Linked DNA regions of Tribolium castaneum. The protein of the gene in region 3 interacts with the protein of the main gene of each other region in a biochemical or structural test. Links are inferred from orthologs where the notes say so. Each region holds a gene or a part of one and is shown on either strand. Other genes may lie near its edges.

Region 1 (4,181 bases), on a different chromosome or scaffold from region 3:
TTGTTTTCCATCAGAAAATCAAACAAAAAGTTTAATCCAGTTAGGTGCAAAAACGCCACCTAACGCAACATACCAACACTGCTAATAGAGAAGATTCCTACCGTAATATACGAAATTGTGTAAACTTGTGAAATATTTTGAAAACAAACTAAACAGGAAAACACATTTACCAAATGGGGAGATAATTTTATGGGCATTTCAGGCAACATTCCTGCTTGTTTTCCACACTTAAAATTTCTCTCAATTTCTGATTATGGGAAGACAGTATAAAAAACTAAATAAATCGTCACCAAATATTTGCTCCTCCCGGCTTTAAAAATAAATAACTGCAATATGCCCAATCTTTGCACAAATAATTCGCAGTGCATGTCTAATAACCGCAGCAGTGATTATTTTGAATTGCCAGACCAAGTGTGCAAATGCTGTAAATTACACAATTTTTTCTTATCAAATACTTACAACACTTGAAAGCTGAACAAATCGCGTCACTATCCATGGCATGGTGATAGTCATAAACCGATTTCCCGACCAAATCTTCCGAATCGTATCCCAAAACATCCATCATTCTGTAACAATTTACGTAAAAACCTCGTTAACACTTTGGTAAACATAATACACACATTTTATCGTCAGCGTGCGTAAATTTCATATCCAAACTGTGTTTTGTTAAGAATGTTTGACGTGGTAATGGGGCTTCGATGTTGGAAGGATGCGGAATAGGTTGTCCTATTGCCACAAGACATCGGCGCAAAGTTCCTTTCGCATTTTCTTCATTTCCGTCATCTTCAGTTTGCACTATGTGACCAGTGCAATGGATGACCTGAATTGACCAAATTAGCAAAATTTCTCTGCACAGTTTTCAGCTCAGTACCTTGTAAGTCGCTGATTTGAGATTGACCGATCGGCCTTTGCTTGTAAGAGTACACTTAAGCCTGATAAAAAACGACTTAGGCGTCTCTGTTTCTTCCCGGGTCTTTGTTGATAAAATTTCCTTGATTTCGTCATGATCGCACGGATGACTGTACTCAAAAATATTCTGACCCATCAGATCAATCTGGAAGAAAAAGTCAAACATCTTGCCCAAAATCTCACGTTTCCAAACCACCTGTGTAATTCCAAGATACTCGCTGACATTCTCAGACATGTAAACAATGTCTCCCTCTGAAGACATCACCAGTAAAAACCCCTCTAATGCTTTCAAGAAAATTGATTCATCGGTTAAAATTTTGTGGTCGTCGGGCTCCGGGGCTTCCGGGACTGCAATTTTTGTTAAATAAGCGGAATTTTAAACTGGGGAAGAACGTTTTACCCAAAGTGATCATATCCCGCACCCGCAGATATGCAATGGCCAATCTCATAACGGAAGCTTTATCCAATTGCGAAACCTGTTCTTGTGAAATTGGCAGAGCGTTACCCAAGTCGGTAAAAACTTCGGTTTCTTTGGAGCGACGAGATCGCGCCGCATCTCTGGATTTTTCCTTACGTTTCTCATTATTCCTGGAATAAGAACAAAATTAAGCGAAACGAAGCAACAAACAAGTATTAACATTTTCGCTAAAATAAACACACAACTCTTCAGGCTCCTACCACCACTCGACTAAAATTTGATTATTTAATCATTAAGTGTTCGCCCAAACTACTCATAAGAAAGTTTCGCGAGAAAACACATGACAGACCCCGTGCCTGGACTTAATCCAAGAATACCACAAAAAACGAACTAATCATGTGATTTTATAATTGTGATAAATAAGTTAATAAAATGTATAAAAATAAAAGCGATGCATATAATTAAAAATATGCCTAGTCATTAATTTATTTTCCTTTCTAACTTTTCATAAAAATTGGCATAATCTTACAATGACAAAGTAGACATTATTTTTATTCCACTTCCTCTACAACCGACTTTAAAAAAACCGCAAACATTAACGACCACCTGTTGAATGAAAACTTCCAGACAACAATAAACTAAAATTGAATTAAAAAAATAGACAAACAAAATAAGGAAAATATCGGTGCCGTTAATAAATCCTAGGAAGTGTTTTTGCGATTCTTTACGTTTTTTTTTAAGTTACTGTCTAGCCATTGTTACACAAAAACCCGTGGAGATAGTAAAATAGTGGCACTTAAACTACAATCAATTGATAAAATCTAGCCTCTAATGTCAATCGGCTAATTATACTATTTACTGCCGCAACAATAAAATTTATAGTAAAATTAATTGGACTGATTAATTGTCATAATTAAACTATTGGTGAACATTTGTATAAAAGTTCAAGTGTTCTTCTTACAAAAGTTTGCCCTCTGCATACGAAAATCGATTACATAACCTTTATCTAATTGATTAAATTAACTATTTCCAACCGGTAAAGTGACGTCCCTTCAAGACAATGCTTTTAATTATTTCTCGCTGTTATCGCGGCATATTTGCCCAGCTGCGCCACTTACATGAAGTCTTCAATATCACCAAATTCAACAAACTGGCAAGTGTTATAGCACCCATCTGCATAATAACTATAACACTCTGTATAATCCCAATTGGAGGACGACTGGCACGGTAAGGCCATGCGAGCCAGGAGACCATTAGGTCTAATCCGACTGTTATGTCGATTTGGAATCGGTTCAAGGGTTGCATTATTTAATCCATAACTGGTCGCACAATTCACATTTCCCAAGTAAGGGCTCATTTGTGAAGTTTGTTGAACCGCGACACCGTCTTGTGGAAAAGTACTACACTCCATTTTAGTTAACTGTCGATTAGTGACGTTAAAAGTGGAGAAATTTTTCATAAAACACCAAAATATTGAACTGACACGTGCCTAAAAACGCGAATTTAACCTACATTATGTTTTAGCCGAGGTGATACTAACTTAACCGTAAGCTTAAGTACTGTCTTGTGGCTTATCTAATCTTTTGCACTTGAAAATCATATTTACTGATTTTTTTAACTGTTATCAACAGCTTTTCGTTAAAAAGCATACATTTCGTCTCTAGATTTTCCTCCCTATGGGTATGCAAATAGCCATATTATCGAATCTTCAATTGTGCTTATAACGTTATTGAAGTAACAGTTGGGATTCATGAATAAAACATAGCAAATGTGAGAGAAAATAACCAATAGATTGTATTCGAAACCCCTCTATCTCTGAGCGTTTACGAACCCTTTCAATAAGCTACTTTTATTTACTTTTTTGCTAAAGTAGCTTTTACTATAACTTAAAAACCAATAGTCGGGAAGAAATCAGCGTTTCCTATTAAATACTTTATATTTTTCTCTTAGCATATGAATTTTTTCATTTAGTTTCGAACAGTGAAACCTTCAAAAATTATTGCAAAAAAGACGCTTTTTGTACTTTTGAATTTCTTAAAGATCTCTAGATGATAGTGTCAACTTAACTACATATTTAAATTTTGAAAAAAAAATTGTTAAAAGATGAAAGGTTTTTCTCATTTACTTTGGAACTCACGTATAACAGAACGAAAATAAAAACAAAACTTAAATTTTTATTCCTAATTATACTCGGACGGAAGACTAACATTTGGCAATTCCTCAATTAATTCGCGATATACATTAAATAAGATAATTCTTGATTCTTAAAATCGAGAAAGTGTGATCCCATTTATTTTAATACGACACGCAGCTTCCACGAAAACTATAATTAAGAAGCAGCACATTATTAAAGAAATACGTGCTAAAAGTAACGTTTTAGCGACACAAAAATCAAAGCTCTGTTTTTTCAACATGCAAATCATGTTAATAATACAGCAATCCCGGCTATTAGACAAGAGATTGATAAGCCAATTCCACGAAATACTAAGGAGCTTCGAGCAATTTAGCATTTCTAGACCTTGGTCTTAGTGATGATTTTATTTATGAACAAAGTGCGAAAAGGAAAACAACTATTTTAATTATTCTTACTTAGACATTATTGCAAATCACCGTAGAGGATAGCACTACAAACCAAATATTTACGGAATGTTACACTGCAATTACCTTATACAAAGTAAACATTATAAAAATGATTTTTACTCAAGGGAAAAATTAAGGCATTGTAAAGTACAAAAATAATTGCTATCGTCTGACGACCTCAATCTAACGGAATAGTTATTATCATAGTCGTACTATCACCAGATGATAAATTTGGACCATACTTCAGACTAATAGTCCTAGAGATACAATGTAA
Region 2 (3,479 bases), about 3.2 Mb from region 3:
TGCAATTGGGCGATAAACGTTTGATAGTACAGAGGGCTAGCGTGGGGGCTAAAAACGCAACCGTCATACCTGCGGTACAGATACAAGTACCGGGTCTCAGTCTCGTGGGGGCTTCAGGGCCGCCAACTGAAGTTTTATGTTTGTTGAATATGGTCACTCCCGATGAGCTTAAAGACGAGGAAGAATACGAAGATATTCTCGAAGATATCAAAGAAGAGTGTAATAAATACGGCGTCGTTCGGAGCATAGAAATACCCCGGCCGATAGATGGCGTCGAAGTTCCGGGATGTGGAAAAGTAAGTTTGACGAGGCGAAAGCCGAGTGTTGAATGTATTCTTTTAGGTTTTTGTCGAATTTAATTCGGTTCTGGACTGCCAAAAGGCACAACAGACTCTCACTGGTCGTAAGTTCAGTAATAGAGTCGTCGTGACGTCGTATTTCGATCCGGATAAGTATCATAGAAGAGAATTTTAATTTTAATTAAGGAAAAAATGTTTGACGTATGTGTTCTGGTGAATAAAAAAATAAGTAGGATTAGTGTTTTATTACAAAAAATACAATACTGAAAAATTATGCTCCTACTGTTAGTTCCTTCCCGCTGTAAGTCACAGGGTCAAAAAGAAAAATGTTATTGATTGTGACTTCTTTGTGTGAGGCTGCTTTGATCACTTCTTGGGACATTATCCCACCAAGGATAGCACAAACAGGACTGACTTCACCGAATACCAGATCTAATAAATTATCAACGTTGACTTTTGTGAATTGATACAATTTTATTATTTCAGTAGCGATGTCTCTCAGTTCTTCAATTTCATCTGATTTATTTTCTAAATCAGGGTCACGCTCGAACCTCTTACGAAATTCCAGTAACACTGAATCAATAATTAATAAAGGAAACAAATAACTAGTCACTTACTTAACATGCAGACGAACAACTTGTTAGGTCTTGACATTTTTTTAATGCTCCCAATGTCTTGTTTCGTGTTGGGTAACACAAGTACTTTATTTAACGGAGGATAAGTCAATTTGCCTTTAATTCGTTTCGTTTTCTTGTCCCCTTCATGGCCCCGTTTCGCGCCTGTTGCAAGCTGGATCCGATCCCTGAGATAATTTTAATTAAAATTAAATAAATCGGCAAAAAATTATTACTCGAAATATTCATGATCCTGGAAATCCGACACCGAATACCCAAAAAACCCGGCCACTTCGCCGTAAATAAACTTGACATTGTGCTCCCTGCAGAACCCATCAATTTTCAAAATCAGCTCAAACTTTAGCTTTGTGGCAACCACAATCGTAAACTCCTTGAAATAGTCCCCACTTTTCGCCGCAACTGAACCCGTGTCAACCACAATTTTCACCAACGGATTCAAGGCCTGGGCCCTCGGCAGGACCTGTTCCGCGATTTTGCTCCCGAGGGCCACTTTTTCGTGTAACAAAAAGTTACGAGTCACGTCGTCCTGCGAGACAACTCCGTCGTCCAGAATGGTCAACGAGTTGATCCCCGAAAGCAGGATGTTTTTGGCGATTTCGGAGCCCAAACTGCGGACCCCAATCAACAAAACATTGGCGGCTCTCAACCTGCGAAAGTAAGGTTAGCGGGGCCCAAAGCCAAATTTGCCTACTTTTCCTGCGCCTCGATGCCCCACAAGCGAATCTGGCGGTCGTAGACCTCCGCCTCGTCGGTGGACAATTGTTTTTCACTCATTATTACACAATTATTGGAATAAAAAGCGTAAAAACCCGGCTCTTGAAAGACGGTAACAAAAAGTGCTGCCAACTTAGGGTAGGGTTTTTGTTCCCTTGTAATCAATTTTTATAATTAATTATTGCATTTTTTTTTATAAAACTATTACGTAAGTTTAATTAATTCAGGTAAGTGGCCGAAATGCCAGTTCTGGTCGTAATTAGACACTAATTAGTAAATTAGTTCGCGTTTTTTGGACGAAGCGGCCATCTTGCCTGTCAATGTAAACAAATATGGTGGCGGAGTAGGTGTACATTTGTAAAAATTCAAAAAAGAGGCTTAAAACTCGCAAAAAATGGACACAAGCATAGCACTGATGGCAGACCAGCTCACGGTAATTAAGAACCAACCGCACGTTGGGCCTAAATTTGCCCCTTTTTAGGTGAAGTTTGTTGACACTTTGGACAGATACCCTTGTAACGAAGACATCGAATGTAAATACACGTTTAACAACTATAAAGTGCAAGACGGCGATCGAATCGCAATATTTAAGACGGGGTGGAAGTCCTTGAGGAACTACGTTTTGTTTGAGTGGGCTGTGGACTCGTCTGTGGCTGACGTGAACTCAGTTGTTTTCAGCAGTAAGGGGACTCCCCTGTTGTGCCAAATTTCTAAATGTTTTCTAGGGTACGACTTGCCAAATAGTCCGAGTGAAACGGACGACTTGTACCAGTTTTGCTACATAAGTGGCGAGAACGTGGTCCAAGGAATCAGCACTCCATTCCAGATTTATTCATTTGATTCGAAACATACCGTAAATCTGACGGATTCCCTGAAAAATGAGAACCAATGCACGCATTTAAAGCAGTTGCTAGCGCACAAAGACAAGGAAATTTTGCGATTAAAGGAGGAAAATGCGATTCTGAAAGAATCCCTAAAATCAATGGTTGATCAGCGCAAGTTCCAACGGAGCAAAAACTACGACGATGATATTGAACAGTTGAAGGAGTTGACTAGTAAATTGAAAAACGTTGTTTTGGGGCAACAGAAGGAAATCGACGCTTTGAAAAGCGAAGTGAGGAAGGATAAAGCCGAGCAAAAAAATCTACTATTGGAGAAGAAATTGGCAGAGCGGAGGTTCGAGTCAGCGTGTGGTAAAAACGTCAAGAGATTAAATATTGATTTCGATTTGGGGAGTTTACAGTCACTTCCCGCCTTCCCGTTTGACGATCTTGACAAAATGTGAACTGTGCGCTAATGTTAACATAGGTGTGTAAATTGTAAATAAACGTAACGAAACGGCACAAATTTTCCTTGAGTTTCCAATTTCCAATTAATTAATTTAATTTAATTATATCATATTATGTGTGGGTTGGCGGCCCTGCGGTCACGTGATAGTTCCGTGTGACAGCTGTGAATCATTGCCAACACTAATTTTAGCTCCGTTACGTATGTTTGCGTTAATTTTTTAGTTACATAAACAAGATTGTCTCCCGGGGGGCGCACACCACCGCTGCCGTGCTCCACCACCGTTCGGGCGCACCCACAGTGGCGCAAGCCGCGGAAAATTCCAGGTATGTCAGGCGCACGTCGCAAAGTTGGTAGTGACCCCACGAGTTGTGCCCAGTTTTGCGTTTCCCGTTTGTGAAAGTCCTGCGGGATTAGGTAATTATGGGATTGTTCCCTTTCAGGACTTTGCTCGGGTCGGTTGCAATGCAACGTTGCGCCCGTGCATAAAATAAATCAAAGTGACTTTGCTATCTGTCAACTGTCATCGTTTGAAAATTTAGAA
Region 3 (4,426 bases):
TCAAGGTCATTCAAGGTCGAATTTTTCAAAAACGGGGCATTTGCACAAACTTTCAAGGTCATATCTTTGATCTAGAGGCTTTTTAAAGCAAAATGCAAAAAAAAAATTTTCAAAAATCCAGAAGTAGCTAAAGTAAAAATTTACCAACAATTTTTTTAAATTCATTGCTCTGAAAACCTGATGCTAATCAAAGCCAGTAGATATACTAAAGTAGCGACACGGACCTTGACAGGGCAACAATAACGATTATACACTCTACAGATGGCTCCACCATCAAAATTCAAAAACGTACGTCAAAAATGTCAAGATTTTTTCACGTTTGAAAAATTGGTGAATCAGAACAATGAATTCGGTGATCGTCTTTAATTTCACCCTGGTTATTACAGTTTATGTGTACAGATACCATGAAACCTTCAAACTTGTGCTTCACTCACGTAAAAGTAAATCAGATCGTCCCTAAATTCAACTGAACATTGCAATGAGAAAGGCTTTTAGAATGCGCAGAATACAGCAACTCTTATGGACATTTCGAAGAAGGTGCTGGCGCTTCAACAGTGAATTCATTCCTTAAAAGAATTTGAACTTTGTATTTAACGAAAAAGCCAAAAACACGTTTCAAAATAATAGTTGTTTGATTTAAAAAAATTGTGATACTTACATTTCTAATTTTAATAAACTCCTCTCTAAGTGTTTTTACAGTTTATCGTATGTAATTACTCCAAGATTTTAAATTGGTCGATTTATTTTTTTTTAATTAAATTTAATTTTTTCCCTCAACACTATTAACAACTGCTATGAAACCAAGACATTTTTCGCAATAAGAATAGAAAATGTTTTCAATATTACCCGAGAGGTAAACCGCAGAGGAAATCAGTGTACAAAATTGAGTAAATCAAGAAATTTTAAGGAAATCACTTTAAAAATTTAGGGAAAAATCAGAAGGAATCATGATTAAATTACAGGTGTACAAAATTTGGGGTACGGTTTACACCTCGATATTACCTAAGAAATAGAAATAATACAACCTGAATTTCTCTTTATTATTTAAATGTTGCATACCATAGTTGCTGTAAATAAGTGGCTATAAAAAGTCCACCAAACTTCGATGCGCTACAATTCCCAGATTTAGATGCATTAAATTTTGTGAAACGAAGGTCAGTGTAAGCAGAGCGGTCTTAAATTCTTTCCCATTAGGACAGAATCTAATAATTTAGAAGAATTTTCAAGGAAGTATTGTTTAAATCTACCTGAAATACTTATTGAAAATTTGGTATCTTAGAAATTTCTCTTTCAAGTTGGTACCTAACACTTTATGTTTCTGAAACAATTTTTGTTTGAATGAGTTTCCAGTATTCTCACACAGACGTGCTTCGTAATGTGGACGACTTTGAACAGTCTGGAGGCCCTTTTGTTTAATGTTTTTGGTGTCGATTTATTATTTACGTGATTTAAGCACAGGTTTGAAAGTTCCATGAAATCTGTTCATAACCAATAACCACAGTAAAACTACAGATGAACGCCAGAATCACTGTGCTCTTTACCAATTTTTCAAAAGTGAGAGAATCTTGACAGTTTTGACGTATGTTCAAAATTACTGACAATTTGGCGAACCTTTAAAATTACAGCGTTATTACAAAAAATGTCGAGCCTTGGAAAACTAAACTGCCTGTTTAAATACATTCTCGATTTAAATCTATCATCTAATGTGACCTTTAACGAATATCTCTTTAGAGCATCCCCTTTAGCAATTTCATTTAGTGAAGATTAAACGTAGAAACAGAGACAAAACGCACTTACTAAGGCTTTTCAAGGCTACGCATTTTATGTAAATAATGCGGTATATGTCGAATTTCGATAGTTGCGCCCTCTCTAGAGTATATAATCGTTATTGTTGCCCTGTCAAGGTCCGTGTCGCTACTTTAGTATATCTACTGGCTTTGATGCTAATGGATCAACTGCGCCCTCTGGTGACATTAACGGAACTATCGAGGACAATAACGCTTTATTTGTACTAATTTGTATTTCGTATCCTAACCTTTAGATGTCCGTAGTGTAACCTTGTCCATTTATTGTCTTAGTGCCTTTTCTTTACGAAACTAAGTTTTCATTTTCATGGATTACTAGATACGAAATTTCCTTGATCACGTGATCACAATATCCACAGCACTCTTGACTACGTCAAATGTAAACACCCCGTAAAAAAACCACTTACCAGTAGATTGTGTAGGCCTCTGCTTGTGCTGGATCTTTAACATTGGGTTCATTCAACAAGTCCTGAATTCCGAGTAAAATCTGCTTAATAGTAATCGCCGGTCTCCAATCTTTCTCCTCGTCTAACAACGACAAACACACCGTACCTGACGGATACACATTTGGATGGAACAACGGTGGTTCAAATTTACATTTTGGGGGAATGCTTGGGTACTCATCTTTGAACAACATGCGTAATTTGTAATTTCCACCCTCCCATGGCGTCTACACAACAATGCGATAACCCAACAATTACTAAACAATGCAACAAACTTACCCCTTTTTTACCAGGAATTGAGCACTCCCAGTTCATTAGATTTAGAGAGCCATCTGGGTTTTTCGACGGTCGGGCCACAAATCCCTGCGGAGAAATGGATTACATGAGGGCAATTTTGTAAGGAATTACTCACAAAAGGATGTTCTTTGCGCCAAGCTTTGCGTTCTTCGGCGAGACGAGCGGGAGCAATTCCAGACATCCTAGAACTAAAAATCAGGCTCTACCTCAAAATTATCGCACGAAATGACCAAAACGTACTCTAAAAGTGGGCACTGGGGTATTTAATGGGGCCTTATTCAAACTCTAAAGGAAAATTTAACGGGCTTCGGTGCTTTCTTGACAGTTGACAGACAAAAACTGGGAAAACAGGTAGGGGAATTCGCGCAGACGCGACTTGTGTTGGCCACCCTGTCGCCGATTATTTGTTCCAGAACAATTTATTTATTCAAACTTTTCGTGTATGATTTTAAACAAATTTAACGAATACAAAAACCCGGATTTGTGTAATAATTATTTGGCGGCAAAAACATTGGCGCGAATTTGATTAGTTCGACGTCACTTGCTGCAAATCAACTTTTGCCTGGATCTTGGCATTTTCTTGGTCAAAATCCTCCTGAATGAGTTTCAAGGCTGCAAAAAATTAATAATTAGGTTCAATAAACCGTAAAATACAAGGTGGCTCAAAATTGACGATTTCGGAGTTCAGAACACTAAAGAGAAATTAATTCAGTAGTTCAAATACAGAAAAAAATAAAGATTCGGGGCTTTCCCATAAAGATACATTGGTTTGAGGGTGCACTTTAAATTGCGTTTTCTTCAAATACAGGCTAAAGGTTTCAGTGCTTATTGTTATTTATGGTAAACTACAGGCTGTTCCGTCTAAACCTTACTTTAGAAGTATTGAAAGCTCTAATAAAGAAATTTTTTAAAAGTTGGTAGTCAATCATAATCCGTTAAGTTCTGCCAATGAAAATATTTTCAAGATGGCAGCATTTCCGGTTATACCGGAAGTCGCTGTTAACTTTCTTATTTTAAATGAAAAGCTATGTTTTTCACTGCGTTTTTGGATTAGTTGAGTTATTTTAAGAGTTTTCCCTATACCTAAAATTTACCGTTTTTAGGATATTTAAGATTTTTTGAAAATTTTTGGATTTGCACCTGTCACTTAAAAAATTGGTAACTCGGTTAGTTTAGCGATTTGGAAATCATATTAGGAGAATTAAAAAAGAAGGCCTTTATCTGTTCTTTGGTGTGTTTAAAATTGAAAATGAAGTTAATAAACCCAAAAATTTTAAGGTTAAGTTTGGACAATTTCAGGTACCTATAACTTAATTATTTGTTATTCTTTTTTAGAAATTTGAAAACGCCAAAGGAAAGTTCTAGGCTTCCTCTTTTAAATAAGCTGAAAAAGATTTAAAATCTTTTAAAAGTGGTAGAGTTATCAGTTTTTGAACTGGAAGGTGCAAATCCAAAAAAAAATTAAAAACATTTTGTAATATTTTGTAAACGAATAAATTTAGGTTTAGTGAGAGCTTATGAAAAGAACCTTAAAATAACTCTAGTAATTCAAAAACGCATTAAAAAATATAGCTTTCCGTTTAAAATGAGGAACATGATAGTGACTTCTGATATAACCGGAAGTGCTACCATTTTGAAAATATTTTTATTAAGCAGGACCTAAAAGGTTATGGTTGTACACAAATTTTCAGATAACTATCATTAGAACTCCCAATACTTCTAATGTAGGGTTTAGACGGAACAACCTGTGTAATAGTTTATTTACACTTACATTATTTTTCACATTGAATCGAATTATCCAAAAATATATAGGATGTCCTATTTAAAAAAACATAACTTTGGTTCACAACTATGTATACAACACACCGTGTATAATAAAAA

The links.
Region 1: of the proteins of lwr (region 3) and hypoxia-inducible factor 1-alpha, one has a biochemical effect on the other in vitro, tested with the Homo sapiens proteins (2 studies listed by BioGRID). The link is inferred for Tribolium castaneum from reciprocal best matches to the Homo sapiens genes UBE2I and HIF1A.
Region 2: of the proteins of lwr (region 3) and Aos1, one has a biochemical effect on the other in vitro, tested with the Homo sapiens proteins (6 studies listed by BioGRID, with this or other methods). The link is inferred for Tribolium castaneum from reciprocal best matches to the Homo sapiens genes UBE2I and SAE1.

Annotation. Positions count from the first base shown.
Region 1 is NC_087396.1:19,217,411-19,221,591, forward strand, and holds the start of hypoxia-inducible factor 1-alpha, read right to left. Parts: upstream 2,830-4,181; 5' UTR 2,787-2,829; coding exon 2,446-2,786; intron 1,498-2,445; coding exon 1,310-1,497; intron 1,258-1,309; coding exon 1,106-1,257; intron 1,055-1,105; coding exon 872-1,054; intron 821-871; coding exon 621-820; intron 567-620; coding exon 460-566; intron 1-459.
Region 2 is NC_087399.1:6,089,885-6,093,363, forward strand, and holds Aos1 (SUMO-activating enzyme subunit 1), read right to left. Parts: upstream 1,893-3,479; 5' UTR 1,709-1,892; coding exon 1,626-1,708; intron 1,582-1,625; coding exon 1,150-1,581; intron 1,102-1,149; coding exon 917-1,101; intron 873-916; coding exon 571-872; 3' UTR 530-570; downstream 1-529. Other genes in the region: U2af50 (splicing factor U2AF 50 kDa subunit), read left to right, coding at 1-296, 343-474; calcium-binding and coiled-coil domain-containing protein 2, read left to right, coding at 2,043-2,081, 2,130-2,328, 2,374-2,933. UniProt on the Homo sapiens protein: The heterodimer acts as an E1 ligase for SUMO1, SUMO2, SUMO3, and probably SUMO4. It mediates ATP-dependent activation of SUMO proteins followed by formation of a thioester bond between a SUMO protein and a conserved active site cysteine residue on UBA2/SAE2.
Region 3 is NC_087399.1:9,253,925-9,258,350, forward strand, and holds the start of lwr (SUMO-conjugating enzyme UBC9-B), read right to left. Parts: upstream 2,934-4,426; 5' UTR 2,786-2,933; intron 2,734-2,785; 5' UTR 2,727-2,733; coding exon 2,661-2,726; intron 2,612-2,660; coding exon 2,528-2,611; intron 2,476-2,527; coding exon 2,213-2,475; intron 1-2,212. Other genes in the region: transmembrane inner ear expressed protein, read right to left, coding at 3,072-3,157. UniProt on the Homo sapiens protein: Accepts the ubiquitin-like proteins SUMO1, SUMO2, SUMO3, SUMO4 and SUMO1P1/SUMO5 from the UBLE1A-UBLE1B E1 complex and catalyzes their covalent attachment to other proteins with the help of an E3 ligase such as RANBP2, CBX4 and ZNF451.